Linked DNA regions of Coturnix japonica. The protein of the gene in region 5 interacts with the protein of the main gene of each other region in a pairwise test. Links are inferred from orthologs where the notes say so. Each region holds a gene or a part of one and is shown on either strand. Other genes may lie near its edges.

Region 1 (3,970 bases), on a different chromosome or scaffold from region 5:
TGAGATGCATGTTAGCTGGAAGCAAGAACTCAACTCATCAAAAAACACTGATTAACAAGCCTATGTAATAGTATTACTATGTAAAGTCTAGTTTTTCTTACATGTATTTCTATCATTAATATGATTCACAAACTGAAACCAAGTATCACACAAATTCATAGTCTATTGGGAATCTTTCTATCTATACAGAGCCCAAACCACACGTGGTATTTCTGAGCCAAGAGAACCCAGGATACTCAGGGACACACTCCCATGATGTTCAGCTTAACTTATGCTGAGTGTGCCACAAGCCATCTGGGCCAACGAAGCCTAAAACATAGGAGTTCTTTTGCAAGTCAGAAATTGTTTGCAATTAAAGGGTTCTTCCAGACCCCAAACTTGTTCAACCACCACATTAAAGTAAAATCTCACCAGCTGTTTTCCTCTGGCTAGAAAACTAAGGCAATGCAAGCAGAGCAAACACTGCCAGCAGTAGCCATGCTTCCTCTTCAATCAAAGCCATTAAAATGCACTCTGCAGAACACTACCTCAAATCATCATGGACTAAGAGCACATGAAAATCCCAACAAACTGTGCTGTGAAAAAGGCATTTCACTGAGAACTTGTGTCACCAGTTCCCCACATAACCAGAGAAACACACCCCCCAGCCCCAGGATTCTTGTCTCACTATACAGTACTGTCAATAGAAGAGTTCCAGCTGAATCCCCCCCTTCAGAACAGAGGGAAAATAGCTAGAAAGTAAAACCCAGCTCTGTGAATCAAGCTGCTTTAAGCTAAGAATGGTAGGATCTGAGCATCCTCAAAACTGCATCTAATTTGACAGAAGTTCTGAATTGAGATTCAATATGTGTCCCAGAGGTAAGAAGAAATACAGAGACCTACACTGACTAAGGCTTCACCTTTGGAATAATTACTTTAATGCTGTTCTGATTTCATTTTAACATACACACGTTCAGTTATACAGAGATTTACATAAGCCTCTGTATTGCTTCAATTGAATCACAATACAGGATTTTAAACCTAATTATCAAAACCACCATTAGTATTTTCATCTTGTTAGCATCCTTGTTGGCAAAGAATTTAATCCTGCTTGAAAGCTTCTAATTAAGGCGATGGCAGTTTACAATTCACAACAGTGGCAAAAAGGAAACACCACAGCCACAGCTGTAACCTTTCGCTCCCTCTTGTCTCCTCCATTCCCACAGACCTACATTCTTTAACAACTGCAGACAAACAATGTTCTTTTGACGACCGAAGGTGTGATGACTTTATGTAGAGAAATGCCTGTGCCAGCTCTTCTTTGCAACTGGTTTACTCCAAATAACCAATCCATCTTAAAGGATGATCAGGTCCAAAACTAATAGGTTTTACTCCAGCAAGCTTTTACACGAGCAGTTCCATTAAACAGGATTACTTCTTAGTATAACACCATGTTAATTGAGACCATCATGTTAATTGTGGTCATTACTATTCATGTTTCATATAGTCATACATATTAATTATTAAATTCAGAAACACAAGGTGTCATGATGCACAAAAAGTAACTGTAGAACCCTCCAAAACCCTAAACATTCCTACTTTTTAAAGCAGCCTTATGATTAAAGACACCACTCAGCCATTTCTGGAGCGCAGACATAGAGATCGCTATTCTGAAAGGTGTTGACTATGAGCAAAGATTAAACTTACATTGTAGCTGCTGCAAGCTGTATGCTGACACAGATCCCAGCTTACCATCTGCTTGGTGACACCTCTTCAGCTTGGAAGTATTACATTCTAGGTGGGCCCATACCATTTAGGGGTATGCGAGCCTATAAATGCTTGAGAAACTGTCAGTTTCATTCAGTATGACTAAACAGGATTAAATACTCACTGCGTCACACTAACATGATGAAGCATTTCCAACTTCTAACCCTGTACAGAAAACATATTTTCCAAGTTTCAAGAAATTCCTCTAGCGTTCCCCGTTATAAAAACACAACAAAAGGGACCTTGGATGCCATCTCAATGTGTTTCCAGCACCGTGATAACGCCAGAACTTCCTGTTCTGCATCAAATCAAGGCTGGAGGCCCACGTACAACAGAAACAAACCCGCTCCCCGCACCGGCATAACACAGCTCCCGTCCTCACCTCAAACCGCTGTACGGCCTGGATCGCACTACAGCACCGAGCTCCCACGCACCCCTCGCGGTGCAGCCGATGTGCTGCGAGCTGAGGGCTGCGGCTGCCGGCGGCTCATGGCGTGTCAAAGTGCAGGCAGCGGCACGGTGATGCAAGCAAAGCTGTGTCACCGCGCAACACGCCTAACGTGCTCCGGACGGCTCAAGGAAAATCTGAGCCGCGGTACAGCTGAAATACATCACGGAGAAGAACATCTCAGCGTTGCTTTTAATTGCTGTATTCAAACAGCCGTGCGCCGGGTTCTTTTTGCCTAAAGCCGCTTCCTACCTGCCCCCCGCACAAACCTGGGGCACGCAGCGTCCCCGAGGGTGCGGCTGAGCCCGCAAGGAGAGCCCTCCCCGCCCCTCCCTGCCTCCAGCCGCACGGCCTGCGGAGCCGGCGATGCCGCAGCCCCCTCCTGCCGCCACCCACCGCCCCCAGCCGAGGGACTCCGAGGGTCGCTCAGCAGCGCAGCGCCACGGACGGACACGGCACTCACCGCCGTGCCGGGCACAGCCGGAGCCGCCCCGTCCTCGATCCGAGCCGCGCCGCTCCACGCACCCAGGTAGCGGCCGCAAAACGCCCCGCCCGGCGGCCCCGAGGAGGGAGGGCCGGAGCGCTCAGCCCTTTCCACGCATGCCCGCCGCCTCCCTTCCTCATCCCCCGGCCCACCCGGCGTCACGGCGGGCGGTGCGAGCCCAGCCCTCCAGCCCCGCCCGCTCCCGTCGGTGTGTGCGATGTGCGCATCGCTCTGCCCCGTAACGGGGCCATTAGGCAGGTAGAACAACAGGCTGCATGTCAGAGCTTAGGCAGATAGGCCTGCAGGTAGCCCAGCATGTAGACCGTGCGGCCCTGTGAGAACCCTGATACATCTGCCCCCTAGGCAGAATAAAGGCCTTCTTTAAAATAAGGAGCAACAGCCAAAGGCTTTGTATGTCTTCTCGCCTGAACTTGAATGTACCCGTCGCATTAATGGATTTATTCTTAGAATAACTTGAAGCGTAATTGTTCCCCTATGGTACAGGAAGAAAGAAAGAAAGAAAAAAAAAAAAAGTCCTAAGTGGAGAGATTAAATCTCTTGCGCAAAGCTAAAGAGATAGCAAAGCCAGGAAATGAGCTCAGATTTCCTGAGTCAGGCGGCCTTGCTTTAACCGCACAGTCATCCTCTTTCAGTCATTCTCAGCTTCTGAGCACTAACATCAACATCAACAGCATTAGCACAGATTTGACTTGTTCCTGCTTTGTACGAAATGACCACTGAAATTTCCTTCCAACTTCTCAATTTCCTTCCCAAAATTAAGATAAATTATATCACAGGCTGACTAGGGTGTTCTTAAATTCCCACTGCTTTTCTCAGGTGCTGGCAAGTAATGTCTTCATCCTCAGCACTGTAAATACCCTTTTCTGCCAGACCAGAGGACCATGAACACTTATACCAGCACAGGGGAGGCACATACACTGTCTGCTGACCTGTAAGTGGTGGTATATGTATATATATGAAAAGAAAGATAGCCCAGCCTAGAGTTGAGAACCTCTACTATGTGTTCAGACATCTAACAAATTGCCACAGTGCTCGTGTAGCCTAACAATTAAGATGCAAAACTCATAGCTGTGATGAATAACTTCAGAAAGGGACACATTACTTGTACAGCTTGAACTTCTGACTGCCTAAGTAAGAGGACAGTCTTGACAGTCCTAGTGTCAGACTACAGGCTAAGATCTGGCCATGATCGAGTGCGCTATCTTTCCGTATCATTTTAATATTTGATGTGTCTCCATCTTGAGGACGTTCTGTTCAATTGATTTTACACT
Region 2 (4,072 bases), on a different chromosome or scaffold from region 5:
AAGAGCCTGAACAAAGCACTGCAGCATCAGGAGCCATCCAATAAAATATCTCTGATGGTTTTATTTGAAGTTTCTGGGGCAAACTGCTTTTGACATAATGCAAGATTAAAATAAAGCACATTAATTTAAATGTGCTTTTAAATTAATTTAAAATTAATTTACGTGTTGGTTGGTTGTTTTATTTTTTTGAAGATCAAACAAAATTTGAAATAAAAGTGTCTTATGGCCTCTAACTATAAATGCATCTCTAAAATAAAAACAGCCTCCCAGCTTAAAAGAGGACACGTTGGAAGAAACTATATGATAAAAGTGAACCAAACATTTGTGATTTTAATATTTTGTTGTGTCTATACAGCAGACATACACAGAACTGATTAATTAAGTAGTTTGTGCTTTCCTCCCAGCCCCATTTGCATACATTATACCTTACAATTCAAGCCATGTGACCACGCTCTGTTTTTCCCAGGACAACCGGCTCATTCAGCACACTGCGTGGTCTCTGACCCACAGCAGCACGAGCGCTGCACACAGAAGGAAGCTGCTATCTGCACATCACGCCATCGAAGATGTTCAAAGAACATGACAATGCAAGATACAGCAACAACCACAGGACCAGAAGGAGCGCAGGTGCTCTGTACGAGCATTATAAACTTGGCAGGCAGCAAGAGACACCTCCCAGACTCGCTTGGCACAGCCATAGGACGCTGTAGAAGAGACATGCACCTGACTTCAGCAGACAGAAGCTCCATCCCTCACAGACAAAAGACTTTCTTCCCTCATCTGCAGCTTCCTGGTCCCAGCCACACCAACATTTAGCACAACAAGCAGCACGTTCTACAGAGAGCGGCTCACAGATGTCAGAAGCAGATAAAAGAATCTGTGCCATGATGCTCTCCTGCCCAACATTTTCTATTGAGAAAGCAGAATTTCAGATTCTGTTGGCCTTTTGGTTTAAGTAAAACTAGTCTGTTTTCACTCCAGTGTCATTCTGCCTGCAGAGCCAAGGAAGGTGGTGCTGATACTGCAATAGTTCTCTTTAGGGACCCAAGCAGACATAGTGGTATCCATTCACATTAAGTACTTTTCCCCTCTGTTTGCAAAAACTAGAAATGGAACTTCAAAATCAGTTTCTGCAGCTACCCATGTATTAGATTGAGCTCTTGTCACTCAGGGAAGCTCCCAGCTTCCACCTGCAAGCGTACATCAACTTTTGTAGTTCCCTTTCATAACTTGGCTCTTTTCCAGCTCATATGTTACCAAGAGAACTGTTAAAATCCTTTATGCCACGTCTCTCACAGTCCGGAAGCACAAGATAGTGAGAAACTACTCTGATTCACAAACCTCAGCCTGAGCAGATAAGGGAGGCAGGCGGCACCTGCAAAACAACTGGAACAGTCATCAAAGAAATCCCTGTGCTGCCACAAGAAAGGAAGCTTGGTAACAACTTGTAAACCATAATATTTCTCTTAAAAGAATGAGAAAATATTTGTATCCGATCCCTTACAAATAACTTTTAGGTAGTTGAGAAATGAGAGGGAAAAAACACAATAATACCTCATTGCTTTGCTTTGGATAGATTTCTATGCATCTTCAGCCACGCTCTTCTCCCCACCCAGTGAGGTGGCTTTGTGACCCCTTTCAGACAGAACCGTTGTTAAATAGAATTCGAAGCTGAGCAGCTCCCATGGTGACAGCTCAGTTCCCCGCAGTTTGGGCTCCTCAGCATCTGGACAGCAATTCCCAGAGGAAATTAATCACAGGAAATCGCTGCATATGCGCTCACGCCTCAGCTCAGTTTACACAAGGAGCCCCATCCCACACAGGCGAGCTCTGGGCCAGCAGCGCTGTCAGAGCGGCCCTCGGAAGGCCATGTCCACTGTCTACCACGGTGCCAGCAGCACGTTTTCGTCTTACAAACCGCTTCAATATTTATTCGTAGCAAAGAAAACACCTTCACACCGCCGTGCGGCGGCTGCTCTCTGTGTTCCCTGGGCTGTCACAAGGGGGCTGCTCTTTTTGTCTCCCGTTCGGCAGCATCGCACCCACAGCCCGTGACGCCGTATCGAGCAGCACGGCGCTGCGGGGCTTCGGTAACCGCGCCATCCCGCCCCGCCCGGAGCTTCGCGGGCCCCGTGAGGGCCCCGACCGCCCGCGAGGAGGAGGGGGCGGCCGTGCCGCGCTGCACCAAGGGGAGAAGCGAGGACACACGGGAGGACGGCGCGGAGCAGAGGAGCCTCCTGGCCTGGCGGGCTGCACAATGGGGAGAGGGCGCAGGCGGCCGTTCTCCATCAGCCGCCCTGTCCGTCAGCTGACCGCCGTAGCGCGGACACCGCCGCCGAGGGCGCGTTGGGACCCGAGGGAGGCGCGGCGGCGGCTCGGGGGGTGTGTGCCGGCGGCCAGGGCCGGAGGGGCGGCACCGCATCCCGCCCCGCCGCCGCCCCACGCCTCCCAGCGCGATGCCGAGGGCGGATGGAGGCGGGGGCGGCCTCCGGGCCCCGCGGCTACGACCGGACTCCGCGTTGCGGCGCGCGGCCCGCCCGGCACCCGCTGACACAATGGGCGGCGCGACCCCGGCCCCGCTTCTCCCCCCGCTCCCCCGCTCACCCCTCCGAGGAGGCTCTCCGCGCCGCGGGGACGACCCGCTGCCGATAGCGGCGGCTCCGGCTGTTCGCTGAGCGTGCGGCCCCGCTGGGCGGGGCGCTCCGTTCCGCGTTCCTCCGGCAACCGCGGCAACGTTATTCCCGGCACATAGCGGCTAACGGGCACAGCCGCGCCGCGCTGCGCAGGCGCCGCCCCAACTCACACAATGCGGGGGGGGCGCGAAGGGCGGACGGCGCCGCGCAGGCGCGGGGGGCAGAGCCGGGGGAAGCGGAGCCGCGCATGCGCCCCGTTCAGACAATAGCGCGGCGGGCGCCGCCCCTCGGTCTGAGCGGGGCCTGCGCCGCCATCAGCCGCTGCGGGAGCGGGGACGTGGGCGGCAGGAGTGCGCAGTGCGCAGGCGCGAGGGCGGCGTCAGCGCCCAGCCACAACAAAGAGGGGAAGGGAAGCGGTGCGGGTCCCCGTCATGGGGAGCGGGTGGGGACTACGCCTCCCAGCGTGCACCGAGCGGCTGGGGGCGGGCTGTGTATCGCGTGTACCGGGGTGCGGCTGGTGGTTGGTGTTGTAGCAACGGGAGGGAGCTCGTGCGAGTAGCGGTTCTTCAGTGCCGCGGGGCAGCGCCGGGAAGTTCGGTGCGCGTCCTTCCTTCCTGGCGGTCGGTGGCGGCCCGATGCGGGCGCCTCGCGGGCAGCCCGCCCTGGAGGAGTCCCTGCAGCGCTACCAGGCGCGGCTCCGAGGTGAGCGCGGCGCTGCGGGCGGGTGAGAACGGGCCGCTCCTGCACGGCCCGGCACCGGGTGGGAGCCCGCCGGCGGTCGGACGCGCTGCGGCTCCTGCCGTGCTGCCGTGTGCTGCTGTGCTGCGCTCCGCTGTAGCGGCCCGAGGTGGCTTTCCTGAGGTTTGGGTTTTTCATCAAGTGCTCGCGGGAGTCGGAGCTTCTAGTGAAATTAGAACGAACTTGGAAGTGTTTTGTCTGGTGAGCTGTGACTGCTGTGACGGGCTGTTTGTCACGAGTTGCAGCTCTCTTGGTGGTTTCTGAGGTGCTCTGTAACGAACTTCACTGAATTATTAAGGTTGGAAGAGACCTGTTGGATCATCCGGTCAGCTGCCAACCTGTCCCCATCATCCCACTAACTGTGTTTCTCAGTGCCGCATCCACGCAATTCCTGAATGCCTCCACCGCCTCCTTGTGCAGCCTGTCTCAGTGCATTACTACTCGTCTTGAGAGTGAATTTTTCTTAATGTCCAACATGAGTCTTCCCCGGTGCAACTTCCCTCTAGTCCTATTACTAGTTATGCATGAGAAGAGGCCAACCCTCTCCTCACTACGATCTCACTTTAGGCAGTTGCTGAGAGTGATGAGGTCACCCCTGAGCCTCCTCTTCTCCACACTAAACAACCTTGGCTGCTCCCTGTTAGATTTGTGTTCCAGACCCCTTACAACTTTGTTGCGCTTCTCTGGACATGCTCCAGGAC
Region 3 (3,500 bases), on a different chromosome or scaffold from region 5:
GAAACTGGAACCAAAAGGATGAGGATATAACCTTCACAGAAACTGATTTATAAATGTAGGTCACACCACTGATTGTGTCCTAGTATCTTTACAACCAAATCGTAATAAAGCAATTCTCTCTCTTGCACACAAAGGAAGCATGGTGTTCCTGTGGTAGTATTTTCTTGTCAGTCATCTTAGAAGGTAGAGTGGGGTACAAACAGCTGTAAGTGAGTGAGTTTAAAGAAGGAAGCAGTGCAACTGGTACCCAATCCTTGACAGTTCTGGGGGACAGATCCAACACAGATTCCAGAATGGAAATCCGAGAACTGCAGGGAGGGTTAAGCTGCTGTAGAGGGCAAGAAACGCAGAGACACATCTTTTCGGAAGAAGCTTTGAGAGAAGGTTTCAGTTCCTAGTCTTTTCTTGCTGTTGGTCTTGAGTAATGACCTTGGAATCTCACCTTAAGAGAACTCAGAATAGGTGACGGTGCTCTTGTACTTAAGACACCAAACACTGGCCTAAGTAAGCAATCAGGCACTTGTGTCCTACTTAAAGCACTTCATGCTTATATGAACAGAAAACACTACCTGTTATTTGCTTTTTAGTTTCTACATCCTTGGTGTGTCGGAGTAAACGGAGCAAGACAGGAATCCCTTTCTGCTCGGAAACTTCCAGTTTGTTGTCATTGTCTTCAAACACCAAGTTTCTCAAAGCACCACACACTGCTCGCTGAATATCCTCATTCTGAACCTCAAGAAGCTGTATAAGTCTGGGGATACCACCAAGTGAGAAAACCTGTGAAGAAAAGAAAACAGCAGAGAATGGTTAGATAGTGATAATGACAAATTCCACTCCATCTCTCCCTTGCCAAAAGTTTAAGCATTTTTGTAGAATATTTATTTATTTATTTATTTCATTTTCATATTTGAAACACTTAAATCACAGAGCATTAATCACTTGGGCATGATACTAACCTCTGGGCTTTTGTATGATTCACAGTTAAATCCACAACTAAGGGAGGAATCATATTTTAGTAATTAACGCAAGAGAATTAAACTAAATCACTGCCAGCTCTGCCACAGATTTGACTTTCTGACAAGACATTTGATTGCTCTGTATTTTAGCTTCCATGTTGGTGAGATGGATATTTGAGATTTAACTCTGGAACACTCATAAAGTGCTTTGAGATTTCTGGATGTAATGAATTCCTGATGTGCCAAACTGTTTTGTTTTGTTTTTTTTCCTCGGCAGCCAGACTGGTGGGAAAATAATATTTTTCCCTGTCAACTTCTATGCATGTGGTGAATATATATTAAGTAAAAATGCATTTTACTTAGTACTTATCTGTGGCATACTGAGAAAAGAATAGTTAACTTCAAAATGTAGACAATTAAACATTGTAAGCTCCTCAACTACTGAATCCCACATGTAACAAAGACTACTCTTCAGTGTCTGATTTTTAGAAAATGGGGTTTTGGCCCCAAATGAATGAAGAATTAAGATGTTATTTTACAGCAGCTTTAAGGAGGAAACATATAGTCTCCAAGTTCTACAAGTTGTAGCAAATGATAAATTCAACATGAGCTGTGATGTGGTATAAGCAAGCCTTGGCTCATTTAGGAGTGAGTTTACTATAGAAAGTACCTTACTTTCATGTAAAATTAAGGACTGCTTCCTCCAGCATCTAAAAATACCATGTGGTTTTGTGGACAAACACATATTTGTGTGGAACTGACAGCATGTGAAAGACTTAGAAACCTAATACAACTGTTTGAGCAGTCCAGAGCTTAATGATAAGAGGAATTCAGTTTGACTGAGAGGTATTGGGTTCTGGAAGAAATGAACTGCAACAGGGCCTTTTGCTACCTTCATGCCCTGACAAACTACATTGAATGTCCACCTTTCATCTCATCCAGCTGTACAAAAGACACAGTTTCTCGCTACAGCATTGCTGATATAATCTATTTTGCTTTCACCCAACCATCATCTACGTTCTAATAGAAATAAATACAGAAGTCTATATCTAAAGGTAAATGGAGCATAAAACACTTTGAAGGCACATCAACCCATTTTATTTCAGTAGATAAGCCAGTTTGACATGGATACCTTAGGGTTTTGTTTGCATATTTGTTTTTTACTAAAAAGATTTATCCAGGCTTTCTGTTGGTAGTTTGAAGTTTAGTTGCAGCTTTTACAAGATAAGTGGTATTATTTGGACCTCATGTGCAGAAGAGAATTTACAAGTTATTGACTGACCTGTCTTACTCTCTGGTAAACAAAGTCCACCAAAATACAGTAAGACCACATGTTTAAAAGAAAAAAAAAGCCACTAGACTTACAAAGTATCAGGTAACAGGAAACAAAGCATTAGGAGAGAGAGGAAAAGAACTCATGCTGAATGTGGAAACAAGATAAAGTGAACAAGAAAAGAACTTAGTTTGCAAAGGGAGATTTAGTTACACTTTACAAATAACTGGCATGGATATAGTAAATATTCTTGACTGTCTTCAGCAGCTTGTGGTATCCTTTTTTAAAAAGTTGATCATAAACATCTGCAATTGCAAATGGTTTAGATGAATTATTGATGTCTTTTCTTACTCTATGTTTCCATGTTTCCTATCACAAAATGCTGAAGACCAGACTTTTGCTAGCATAGACCAGTGCTACTCTACTGATTACTCTTCTGGTTTAAAGAATCTGCAGCAAAAAGCATCAGTATATTTTAGGGAAAATATTCAACACCAGTATCCTGCAATGTTTCTTGGACTGCATTTTCTTGTGTTGGTACAGTACAGTAATTTGCTCTACCTGACTAAAACTTGTGTAAAAACAGTCACTTACTCTTCTTCTGGCTTCTGCTTTCTGGAAGCATTCGTGCTGTATGAAAGTCACTGCAGTAAGTATCCGAGGTGCTGACTGTGTATTTTCACTCTTCAGTATGCTCACTGCACGCTCTAGAGTCATCTCCACTTCTGGGCTCCTTAAAAGTACAATTAGAGAAAACACAGTGAGGAAAGACTAGAAAAATCATTATTTAGCCTGTGAACCACCTTGTTAATTAGCTTTTCTTAGAAATTTGTTTCCTTACCAACATTATAAATGTTTTAAGAGATACTGATACTCTGGGGAACATGCAAATCATAAATTGATTTGTTGCAGCAATGAGACATTCTGGACAAAACAAGTCACACTTGAAATTAAAAACAATATGGAAACATGAGCAGGTGGAAGAACTAATCAAGGAGGGCTAAAGCTGAGTTGCAGTGTGACTTTTACTTTTGTGAAGATGTTTTTCACTTTTTGTGATGTTTTTCACAGCAGTGTGAGTATATTTTTTTCTATTTGTTTTCATGCCTTTCCTCAGACTTTCACATCTCAGCCTATATATATGCAGAGCTCAGTCCCTGACTTTTTTCAAATGTGCAGAAGTTGCTTTAGTTTAAAACAGATGGCAAAAGACTTTTTCAAGTAGAAGAGAACAAAACCACTTATTAAACTAAGTAAGAACATCACATCTG
Region 4 (3,500 bases), on a different chromosome or scaffold from region 5:
CTGACTTTGCTAAGACTTTCCCCTTACACTTCTGGGGAAGGTAAATGAAAATTCTCGTATTCCAAGAACCCTGATATACAAGAGAGAAAATAAATAAATAAAAAGAAAATATCTTCTCTTTAAGGAACCGTCTGTTGCCTTATCTATGAAATTCTATGTTCATATACAACATAAACTAAAAAAATAACAAAATCAACCCACAATCACCTCAGTAAAAATACTGCAGCATCTAAAGACACACATTAGTTTCAGGTCTGACAAGCCTACCGAAATGATACCAGGCAGCAACACGGTACAAGAACATTCACGAAGTGCCAAAGGAACAGTGAGGAAAGAAACCAGAATAGGCAGCTTCAGAATCAGGAATCCCTTGCACCATTCCAATCACGTTCCCTTTTTGGGGGTAATCCAACATAATCTCCAAAAATAAACTCAAAGACAAGTAATTCACTCCCTATTTGCAGGCATTTTTTCCTACAGATAGACGTGTTTCTCCTTCCTAAGCAAAGGCAGTGCGAGGGATGGGGGGAAGGGAAGCAGGAGTTATCAGGAGTTCATGAATCAGCTATTCCTGGCTCTGCTCTACCCCAAAACACTTCCAAACCAAGCAGCCCAAAGCCTTCCTGGAAAGCAGTTCTTTCCTTTTGTTACGCGTTTACCTTGCACTTCAAGCAGCAGTTCTGTCTGCGTTTAGCAAAAGGGTAGTCATGAATGCTCAGACACAGACCTTTTTACACATTTAAAAATCGTTTAGAAAATGTCTTGAAAAACTAATTTGGGGATAGACACCAAAATCCCCATGTAGGTGTAGCGCTGCTCTGGTTATTTGCGCCTGTTCCCTCGCTAACTACATGACCGTATTCTGATCCCCTTCTCCCTCCCCTCCACCCCTACAACAAACGGTAGCTCTCCCCGTGTTACTTGAATCCTGGAAGAAGAATTGGCAAGACAAAGAACATTGTTTTCTGAACTAAAAATAGATCTGAAACGCATCTGTATATTTACATTTGTTTTAGAACATGAATATTAAATAAAAAAAGAAAAGACAACAAATAAAAGGACATGACGCTGACTCATAAAAGCTGAACAGAAAACATCTTTAACACGACTGTTCATGCTTCGCCTTTCTGCTTACTTTCTTTCCCAAATCAGTTTGACAACTGCAGGCTGAAGAAGGAAACGTACCTTCTTTATAGAGACAGCTAAAAAATAAAGCTAAACTGAAGAACAGGAGACACTAACGAGAAACAGATAAATCAGCAAATTCTTACCTGTTGTTTAATGTAGTTGGCAGAGGATGCGTTGCATTGGGTGGCACCGTTGCATGAGTGAGAGGAGAAGGGTTCTGTGATATTGTTGCTGGGGTCTGAATTACCCCATTTAAAGCCCCTACAATTCCATTGATTGCCAGCTGGCTGGCTGGCAGCGCTCCAATTATTCCACCCACACCAGGCACTGCAGGAATGGTGGAGGTTACAGTCTGCATACCACTAGCTAGTGCCCCCACTGTCACACCATTGACCTGTTGAACTCCCGTGACTCCTGAGCCTTGCTGAGCTGGACTCTGCCCAGCAGGTGGTGGAGTGGAAAGAGCTGATGAACTGCTGGTGCTTTGTCCGCTGGAGGTTATCTCCTGGTGTAAAAACAAACAGCAAAACCCTCTCAGCTGCTTAAAACTTCACATTGCAGCAAAACAGAAAGACTACGATGAGTTAAACTTGTAATAACTTTAAATTTAGACGAAAGAAATAAGCATTACCTGATTTAACACGGGAAGAGAATTGTCCGGTAAAAAACTGTTTCCCAGATGAGGGCTTTTACTGCTGTTCAAGGAATCCGTGCTTGGTGCTAAAGCAATCATTGCAAAAAAACATACAGCGATTACATTTCTGCAGCACATAAAGAGATATTCTGAATAATTATTTCCAAATAATGCCAGAGGCAAACACAGAAAATGTAAAGTCAACCTCAGAATGACTGCTGAACAGTGAAATATTAACTTGATGATTAGTGAATCAATAGATTCAAGCAGATGTGCTTCAGACTACTTCAGTCTGAAAAACTAAAAGACAAAAAAGCCGTGCCGAATCAAGTAATTTATAAATTTATACATGTTTTCCAATTGATTTTAAACATCGGAGGTATTTTTTTTAATCCCCACATCAAGAACTGCTTATTCTGTTCTCATAATACCTTCCATCAATGGCATGTGCCATTATTTTGTATAAATCACTCTAATCGCTTCCACACTTCCATACTCCACTTACCTGCTTGTACAGGAAAGGCATGTACTTGATGAGAGGGGCTGGGATTTGAAGTCAGTGTTGGGAAGGGCACTGAAAGCTGCGCGTTGAGAAGCTGAAGCCGTTCCTTTTTAGCGGTCAGATTCTTGATCTGCTCTTCCAACCTCCTGTTTTCAACCTGAAGTTGGTGTAGCGATTTAAGCATTCCTAAAACTAAGATAAAAACAGGGATGTTATCTTTCATGAACACAAAGTTTTTCTTCTTTCGGTAAAAAGTCATGGTGACACAACACAGTCCCTGAAGTTTCGAAAATGAGTAATGCTAAAGTATATGTTACAAAATAGGACTAGCAAATAGAGCTATATGTGAAAACAGAAGCAACATTATCAGTGAGAAATGAGGACAAATTTGACTTTACCCAGACCAATTTTGTGCAATTTGAAGCGTGGAAAAAAGTATGTAGTATGCAATAGTAACAGTGTGCTGTACCTACACCCTGTCTGTATATGGATACATGGAGCCTCAGCTCTGGGGCTGACACTGAGTAAACATAAGTGCACAACAACTGCAAACCAGAATACAAAACCAGTACTATTTTAATAGCACAGGTTAAGAACCTAATTGGGAAAAATCTATTTTTCCCAACAGGAAACGTTTGGAAAATACGCATTCAACGAACGATACAACCAGCTACACCTATGTACAAATAAACTAAAGTTTGTGACATTGGAATTATTATTTTCATCTGCTGTACAATGACACCCAAACTTAGATCAGCAATGACAAGATCTCACCCACTGTTAAGCTACCACGACCCACCTTGCTGGCAGCGCTCTCGTTCGCTTTGAGTGGCGATCTACAAATCACCCAGCAGGGAGCACTGTGTGAGCACTCCAGTCACCACCCCTTTTTTTTTTCCCCCCCTTCTTTTTTTCTTCTTTTTCCCCCTTTTTTCCCCCCTCCAGATAAAGGACATCATCTTCTGTACTAGCACGGTATTTTAGCAAGCTCACTCTGCTCGAACTCTGGTTTTGTTTCAGAAGGTGGGTTTCCCAACCAACATTACAGCATGACTGTAAAGGCACAAGGACAGCCGTTTATTTTTTTTTTTAATTCTAAATTGTATTTGTTTAACATGACCTCTGGGCCTACTACAGACATAAGTCTACTGGTATAGGCACATCTGGTCATTTCCCAAGGATTTAGCTTTTATCCCTCCTCTTCAAGAACATACAAAGGAACCCTCAGTGAGCCCA
Region 5 (3,966 bases):
GGTGAAAAAGCACCAAGAGTTTTAAAGTACTTAACCAGGGACCTCTACAGGGAAAGTAAAAACTGGGGGAAACAGAGAAACTGCATTGTTTACCTACAAATGGAAATTCAGCCCTTTATATCAAATAACTCTATTCAATACACATGCAAATACAACCTATATCAAGGCTATTTCCAGGATTCCTGCAAGTCTGACACTTGGTACCCCACTAGCCTTCACTCTAGCAGCCTTGAGAGAGTCACTAAGTAAAGCTTTTAACCTGCTTTAGGCAAAAACCAGCACAGAACAATAGTCACTGCATCTCAGCACTACCTGGAAATATAAGTTTGCTGGAAAGCATTAAGGTTTGGATCTCAGGGTTACTAAGTGCTTTGGTAGGAAGCCAGCATTTACCCACCTTATGCCACTGCAAGGTATTAAATTACTAGAAGCAGCAACTCCACATATTTCACTAATTACACTCTCATCTTTACCATACGTAATAGCTCAACTCTTTGCAACCAGCAGAGAAAACTGATGATATTTAGGAAGCTACATATTCATTGGCCTCAGAGAGACCTGACAGACTTTTCTCATACAGCTCAGGGATCTCAAATGCCCACCCTCTGTTCCCTACACCCAGAAAACAGACCCAAACAAAACAACAGCTTGCACACTGGGCTCCTTGGACTTGAGAGAGGTTTAGCTGGCTTTGCTTCTATTGCACACTAACATAGAGTGCAAGTAAAGCTCTCCAAAGGCAATGAGCAGGAAACCACCACTACTGACTCCCCTCCCCACAACAAACCACAAGCAGCACACAAGACAACAAGTTCTCTTGCCACTTTTTGTAACCAAAAAGCCTTCTGCTCCCCTTAAAAGATGGCAGAGGCAAACACAGGCAGAACTATGAGCTATAATGAATGTGCTTCAACATATTGCAGCCAGCTACCAAATAAGAAACTTCTCAGACCAAGTGCAAGAAGCCTGAGGGAACAGTAATGATACCAGGCAAACCCACAGGCAGTCTTCCTACTGCAAAACATCAAGCTAGTACTTAAGACAGCATTTTAATTATACAAACATACACATGATCATAGAAGAGCTCTTCTCCTGCTCTAACGTGCTCAGTCTTGAGTTCATGGCATAGTAACACTGAGAATGAAATACTCAGCCTGCACAAGGCTGGATCTAAAAGCTGCACCTAAAGCTGGAAATGGTGAGATTCATTTTAATACATCTAATGCTCATTTTGATTAAAGTCTAGCAGAGAAATAGATTAAGCTACATTCTCAGTCATCTAGAACCAAATCCACTCTGAAAATATCCAACAGTACCTTTGTTTGTACTTCAAGGAAAGCTCTTTCCAATAGGCAGTTTCCTCTTTTGGACTTGAGAAGGTTGGAATTTCCTCACTGTCCATGTTCAATATGACCTGTAGGATGCAGACATAAGAAAACGCTTAGTATGATGAGGCAGGCAGAGTAACCCCCCACTGCTGCTGTACTTCAAAGCTGTGGCCTGTCAGGAGCAAACAGACTTGAGACTGGCCTGCAGAATGTTAATGATTCCTAACAGCCACCTCTGAGCAAAGACCAGCTGCAACAAGTAACATCATGGTCTCCAACCTCTGGAAACGCTCATGCAGCAGCCTGAAAAAGAGACCACAAAATTGGGCTGTATCATTCACCGACCATGGAAACAGCAGTTAAAGCCACTGGCTCATTTAGGACCACCAGGGGTAATGATTTACAGCTATCACAGTTTCCACTTGGATTTGTAAAAGGTTTTTCCTACAGTGCATAGTACAAACACTGTTCACTATGACTGCACACGAGAGCACCCCACACACCAGACCTCAGATGTTACTGAAGATGACGATGAGGATGAAGCAGTGCTGGTGGTGGACCTGCACTCACTGCAGCACCCAGGGATACACTCAGCCAGGCCCAGCTCCCAGCCCCAGGCAGCTCCATTCCATTTCCAAGCTCCCTCTTACTCACAGGTAGCCATTTTTTTTCTTCCTCTCCAGAAAACACCATTTAAAATAGATCATAAATCTCCAGAAAAGAATAAGCTGAAACTCACTTCTGTTGCAGAGGCTTTAAACAATGTTTGTACCAAGCTCGTCACAGCAGATTAATCACTGCAGATGACCTAGAAGCCTTGACTTTCACATACTGACAGTCATCAATAGCCAATGCTGTCCCTCCAGGCCTGAAAGTGTCACACTGTCATGCTCTGCATCTCAGTGACCCACATTTGAGACACCCAGAAGTGGGACAATATGATGACAGCACTCCCATCAGAGGGCACAGCAGCCCATCCATTCTGGCTCACACCTAAAGCACAGCCAAACTGGCACACTGCTCTGCAGCTGCTACAACCCAGGGCATGAAACCAACCTTACCTGCAGGGTGCTCAGTACATCCAAAAACCCTCAGCTCTCTCTCTGTCTTTACTTAACTTACAGCTGTGCTGCAGTAGCACTCTGTGACGAACCAGGCCTTCATGCTGCCTGAGCCAACTGACCATGCCTCCTTTTCTACACGGCCCTGAGCTGAGAATAAAACAATAGGAGGCACCACCATTCCCCCCAGCACCACAGTCCTGCTGTATCTCTTCAGATGAAAATCTCTTGGGGTGTATGTGCTTCAGTTATTGCACCTGTTACCAAGGCAGTTTAATGACAACAGGAACAAATCAGCTGTGTTTACAGTGGATGCAGAGCCCATGAATCACCTCCTGAGCTGCCAGTGTCTCACAGGCTGATGCATTAAGGCAGGCAGACATCTGCTGTGGCTCAGGCACACGTCAAGCAGCTCCTGAACTGCTATGCAGATCTGTGGGTTGAGGAAGAGGTGAGCAGTTGATTACTGCTGCGTGCTGTCCATAACATCAGTCCCACACCAATCACATTGAAACCACCTCAGCAGAAGTCACAAGGCTCTTGGCTCTCAGCTGGCACTCTCAAGTCAGCCAGAATCACTTTTTCACCTCATTAAATGAAGCACCGCATTGAACAGGGTCAGCCCCACAGCTGTGTCTAAAGGTAAACAACCAAGGAACCACCCATCAAGCTGAATTCAGAGAAAAGTCAGTACGAGGAAGTGCCTTACATCATTTCCTAGAAGCAGCCACGATAACGTGTGTCTGGGTCCAAGACTCCTTCCTGTCTGCTTGCACAAGACACACCCTTGGAACCAACACCCTGCAAGCAGCAGCCAGCAGCCAGCAGTGCTGGGACCCCCATGTTCATCAGAGCCCCACTCTTCCTCCAAAGCCACCTCCCAGAGGGACAGAGCAGACCTGCCATAGGCAGTGCCCCAGCCTTGTCCATCTCATCATACAGCAACAGCTCACAGCTCCCCACGCTCCGTGTTTTCCATCACACCTAATGCTGCCACCACTGAGTTTTGATCCACCAACCTCACTACAGAAACACCTCCATCCGATGCTCATGCCAACATGCCAGCTAAGCACTCCTGCAGACAAGCTTTTACTGTCTGTCTTCTCTCCCATGCCTGGGGGACAAGAGAAAGATGAGAGCAGGCTCACATCATCCACAGCTGGTCAGAACCATAAATACTGCTTTGAGGGTTAGGAGACACAGACAGCTCCCAACCTGCACCTTTCCCTTCTGCCATCCGTTGCCCATAGTGGGGCAAAAAGCAGCTCCACAGCACTAAGAGAATCTAACACAACCCTGACCATGCGTGGGACAGTGGATGCCCACGGCATGCCAAGAGCTGGATACAAAGCGCCGTGCTGAGCGCACTGTTGGCTGCATTGGCTGCAGGCATTGTGCAGAGCTGAGCCCAGCACAAGCCCTTCCCATTCAGAAGCTCCTCTGTATACGTGGCATTTGCAGAATCGGGCCTTTGACAAACAACACTGGGGCTTTCAGGAGCAGACAAGACAATGCAGCAGCGTCTTCCAGGGAAAATGAGAGCAGGCTCATGTGGATGCCCACTCAGAATTCATTAC
Region 6 (3,926 bases), on a different chromosome or scaffold from region 5:
CACACCAAGAAATGCCCACCCCTTCTTCCTGCTGTCATAATTTTAAGTAGACTTGATCTTAAGTTATCCATGCACTTCTGTTACAACTCCAAGCCCTTTGCAAAGTATACTTTTGCCAAGTAACTCAGCTGTACTCTTTTTGCTAATGCAGATGTTACCTTTTCTCATAAGAAGGTGGCAGAATTAACCCCAAACTGGGGGCAAACAATGGGCAATCACTGCTTCAAGCTGCACACATATCAACATACAGCTCACATAGGCATATGTAAAAACAGGGTGAAGTACTGTAATTCTGGCCACAATATTTGAACATGTAAGATGAAGACAAACTGAAAGACCATAAAAGCTACATGAAAAGAGGAAAACAGGAGAAAATAACTGACTGTAAGTTAGGAAAAAAACAAAGAAGTTCTCACTCTACCTTTTCAGTTCTTGTTCCAATCTTTCAATTTCTTTTTTGCTAGAACTCAGCTGCCCAGACAGAATGTTGACTTGAGATTCTTTTACTTGAAGATCATGTGAATTTTTCTGCTTTGCTTTGTCAAGACTATCACACAATTCCATCAGGCTCTGGTTCTCTCTCTTTAGACTTGCAGTTTCGTTTTTTTCATTTTCAACCTAGTTGGAATAAAGAACATTTCAAAATGCTTAACATCTTATCTACGCATCTTGACTTAAAATAATTGCAGTTCACACACTTATTTTCTTCCCTATGTTTCCAAACCCTATCAGCTCTGAAAACATCAGATCAAAAACAGCCAAAAACAACTTTCAAAACATCCTGGGTTTAAACAAAAGCACAGTTCTTAGAATTCAACTCAGACACATTAATACCCAATTTACTGACTAGACATCATCACATCAAAAACTCATTAGCTCTTAAACAGCGGTCTACAACAGCTTGCAGACTTCAACGATTGTCTCATTTCTCTTTCCATCCTCTAAGCCTTAGCAATCAGAATACTCTTACTAACTAAAGGGAAATTGTGTTATCATTTTAAAAGGTTGCAGGTTTGTGTCAGAAATAGGGCCTAACAACAGAGATTTCCTTCTCCTCTCCTCCAGCCTCTGAGTCATACAGCCACCTGCTGCTCGGCAGTAACTACCAGGAAGAAGGACACCAGAACTCCTCTCACCTTTGCCTCCATCTGAAAAGTATTTGCTGCTGCTTCTGAGTAAGATTTAAAACACATTTATTTGAATATACCCATTCTTTTCAGTATTTCCCCCTCCCCACCTCCCATTTAGAGAGCACAGAAGTTCAGACCCTACTAGGAAACACACAGGAAGGGAAAAAATAACAATAACCTAGGAAAACTAAGCTTGAGTTTTGCTAGAAAATTGTATCAGCCAAACAGGAATAAAAGACAAACTTTTGCAACTGTATCTAACTTGTATTCTAATGTTGCAAGGCAGAATTCAGGTTATGAGGGTTGCCAGCTTCTTGGCTAGAGGGCTGACAAGGTAAAGCCAGAGAAGAAAAAATCCCAGCCCTAAAGCAAAAGAAAGAAAGAAAGAAATCCCCAAACACAGATATTTAAGTAGAAATCTGAGATGCATGTAAATTAAAGTAACAAAATGGACAAGTAAGCATACAGAGACAATATGAAACAGAGGCCATCTGTTGTGTCACTCTCATGTAAGAGGCCTAGATTCTTAACAGGCATAATAAGGTAACATTTTCTTAAACATAAAGCCTGGGGAAAAGCCTCACAGTAAGCACACATTTAGAGATGGACAACCATTCCAAATACTGACAGGAGGCATAAATGCAATCAAAACTTGATAAAGAGCAGGATACGACAAACAGCTAAGAGAAAGCAATGAAGAGAAGCAGCTTATATTTCCATGGTACCTTCCAGTCAGTCAGTATGAAGAACAGAAAATCAATCATCTTCTAACAACAATCAGATAACAAAGCTTCACACAGTTACTTGCAGAATGGCACTTTAGGGAAGTTAGCACAGTACCCACATTACCTTCTGTTTCTGCTTTTGCAAAGCTGCCTCCAGAGAGTCTAACTGGAACTGCCTTTGCTGACGTTCTTTTTTCAGCTTGTCTACCTGACTCTCCAGCTCGTGGATCTTCTGCAGGACTCGGGGGGCCAGGCCTTCTTTCCACTCCTCCACAACCCAGCTCATGCTGACCGGGCTTTTCCTCTACAAAACACGTGGTAACAATGCCTGAAAAACAAAGGCAACGACAATTAGACTTAAAGAGGAGGATTATTTGACTCTCGCACGTTTACCTTTCAGTACATCTACTTTTTAACACAGCAGTGGTTACAGTTACCACCTTGCAAGCCTCCTGAGCAAGCTGCCAGCTTCTAACATTAGGTCTTATTCTAACACGTTTCTGTTCAGTTAAGAGAAGATTCAAAAGCCATTCGTACAGCAACAGTGCAATTTCAGCCTGCAGCTTTGCTTCACCCTCCACGCGTTCTGCAAAGCAACACTGCAGAGCTCAGCGCTTCCAATCGCTCCGTTGCCGACAGACGCAGGGACAAACAGCTCAGCCCGACCCTCCTGCCCCCAACCCCTCACCGTCAATAGATCCTACGATGAACCACCACCGCCACCCGATCCCGCTGCTCACCGCCGTTATTCGAAGCAACCGCTGCACCGGCAGCCGTTGTGCACGCCCAGGCGGTGGCTCATCCGGAGAGCGCTGATTAGCCGCTGCTCCACGCCGGGTCCTCCCAGCCTGCAATGAGAGCGCAACGCCGGTCGGGTGGCTGCAGGGATTGGCTGCTTTGGCTGCGTTCAAACAACATCGGAAGTTGCTCGCTGCAGGGAGCATGTTTCTAAGAAGGGTCAGAACTGTTTCTGAGTTTCTGTTGATAATGAATTGAAAATGAGTTATTTCATACCTCGCAATTAAAGAAATTAATTAATGATCGTGAAAGATTGAAGAGAGTACAGAAACCTGCCATTCTTTTGTATATCAACCTTATTTTGCACAATAGACTTGTGAGAATTGTGTGTAAACGGAACTAAAAGTAAGACACAAAAATACTAGGAAATGTAATATTAAAGTATAAGACACTAAGACAAATATTATGAACAAATAATAGCAAGTTATGAAGGGTGTTAACAGCCACCATTAGCTGGCCCATTACTTTTAATTATGTTTACTGCTCTCCATTAGCTCGAATTCTTCAAGTCTTTCTGAAGGTCTTTCTAATTCCTTAATTTGGAAGAGGGAAAGAACTACCTTGGCCTTGTGAAGTGGCTTTTCCTTATCCTTGGAATGTCTTACCAAATGTTAAGAATCACCTTCTGTTGCGTGCATTCCTTCCTATCATTTTGGTAAAGCTCCAAAATAATAAGTAGAATACAACAAGCACTGAAGGTTAGACTTCTATTACCAGAAGTGTCCAGTGTCTATTACCAGCTTGTGTCAGAGCAGGTGAAGAAGCAAAAATGGAAATGAATGGTCTTCTGATGAGAAAATCCCAGCCTACTTGGACACTACAAGGAGCAGAAACCAGATAGACCTTTTCCCTCACCTTGCCAGATGTGGAATCTGTCAGGTAAAGCCTATTTCATATGTATATATATACATATATATGTATGTGTGTGTGTTTATGCATATACATACACATCAAAGAGCATCTGAAGAGGTGGAGCATTCTCCTCCACCCAGGCAGAGAAATGGGCCAGGCTCTCAGCATCTGACATGGTTGTAGCTTCCCAGCTCTCCTATCAGGCACTGAGGAGGTAAAAGCTCTGCCAGGCTGGAGGAGAAAGAGAAGAAAGCTGTATCACTTCCTTTAGCCTCACCCAAACCCCACCCTGTGCTAAGAGATGATGCCTCTTGCCTCTGGAAAATGCAATTCTCTATCTCTGCCAGTGTGAGTAGGTAACTAAGAAGTTAGCAGTTTAGGTGTTAGCACTGGAAATACAAAGTTAAATCTGCACTAATAC

Evidence for each region.
Region 1: the proteins of NDEL1 (region 5) and CCSER2 interact in binary tests that used the Homo sapiens proteins (3 or more experiments, as listed by UniProt). The link is inferred for Coturnix japonica from reciprocal best matches to the Homo sapiens genes NDEL1 and CCSER2.
Region 2: the proteins of NDEL1 (region 5) and CEP170 interact in a two-hybrid assay, tested with the Homo sapiens proteins (2 studies listed by BioGRID and IntAct). The link is inferred for Coturnix japonica from reciprocal best matches to the Homo sapiens genes NDEL1 and CEP170.
Region 3: the proteins of NDEL1 (region 5) and PKP2 interact in binary tests that used the Homo sapiens proteins (3 or more experiments, as listed by UniProt). The link is inferred for Coturnix japonica from reciprocal best matches to the Homo sapiens genes NDEL1 and PKP2.
Region 4: the proteins of NDEL1 (region 5) and MLLT10 interact in a two-hybrid assay, tested with the Homo sapiens proteins (2 studies listed by BioGRID and IntAct). The link is inferred for Coturnix japonica from reciprocal best matches to the Homo sapiens genes NDEL1 and MLLT10.
Region 6: the proteins of NDEL1 (region 5) and CENPF interact in binary tests that used the Homo sapiens proteins (3 or more experiments, as listed by UniProt). The link is inferred for Coturnix japonica from reciprocal best matches to the Homo sapiens genes NDEL1 and CENPF.

Annotation. Positions count from the first base shown.
Region 1 is NC_029521.1:365,879-369,848, reverse strand, and holds the start of CCSER2 (serine-rich coiled-coil domain-containing protein 2), read right to left. Parts: upstream 2,801-3,970; 5' UTR 2,658-2,800; intron 2,348-2,657; exon of another isoform or gene 2,129-2,347; intron 1-2,128. UniProt on the Homo sapiens protein: Microtubule-binding protein which might play a role in microtubule bundling.
Region 2 is NC_029518.1:31,700,099-31,704,170, reverse strand, and holds the start of CEP170 (centrosomal protein of 170 kDa), read right to left. Parts: upstream 2,801-4,072; 5' UTR 2,605-2,800; intron 1,669-2,604; exon of another isoform or gene 1,555-1,668; intron 1-1,554. Other genes in the region: SDCCAG8 (serologically defined colon cancer antigen 8), read left to right, coding at 3,269-3,335.
Region 3 is NC_029516.1:53,608,103-53,611,602, forward strand, and holds part of PKP2 (plakophilin-2), read right to left. Parts: intron 2,963-3,500; coding exon 2,824-2,962; intron 778-2,823; coding exon 570-777; intron 1-569. UniProt on the Homo sapiens protein: A component of desmosome cell-cell junctions which are required for positive regulation of cellular adhesion.
Region 4 is NC_029517.1:16,242,568-16,246,067, forward strand, and holds part of MLLT10 (protein AF-10), read right to left. Parts: intron 2,457-3,500; coding exon 2,268-2,456; intron 1,849-2,267; coding exon 1,760-1,848; intron 1,634-1,759; coding exon 1,272-1,633; intron 1-1,271. UniProt on the Homo sapiens protein: Probably involved in transcriptional regulation. In vitro or as fusion protein with KMT2A/MLL1 has transactivation activity. Binds to cruciform DNA.
Region 5 is NC_029533.1:1,496,566-1,500,531, reverse strand, and holds the start of NDEL1 (nuclear distribution protein nudE-like 1), read right to left. Parts: upstream 2,801-3,966; 5' UTR 2,773-2,800; coding exon 2,722-2,772; intron 1,415-2,721; coding exon 1,317-1,414; intron 1-1,316. UniProt on the Homo sapiens protein: Required for organization of the cellular microtubule array and microtubule anchoring at the centrosome. May regulate microtubule organization at least in part by targeting the microtubule severing protein KATNA1 to the centrosome.
Region 6 is NC_029518.1:18,505,964-18,509,889, forward strand, and holds the start of CENPF (centromere protein F), read right to left. Parts: upstream 2,801-3,926; 5' UTR 2,596-2,800; exon of another isoform or gene 2,544-2,595; intron 2,184-2,543; 5' UTR 2,142-2,183; coding exon 1,980-2,141; intron 619-1,979; coding exon 422-618; intron 1-421. UniProt on the Homo sapiens protein: Required for kinetochore function and chromosome segregation in mitosis. Required for kinetochore localization of dynein, LIS1, NDE1 and NDEL1.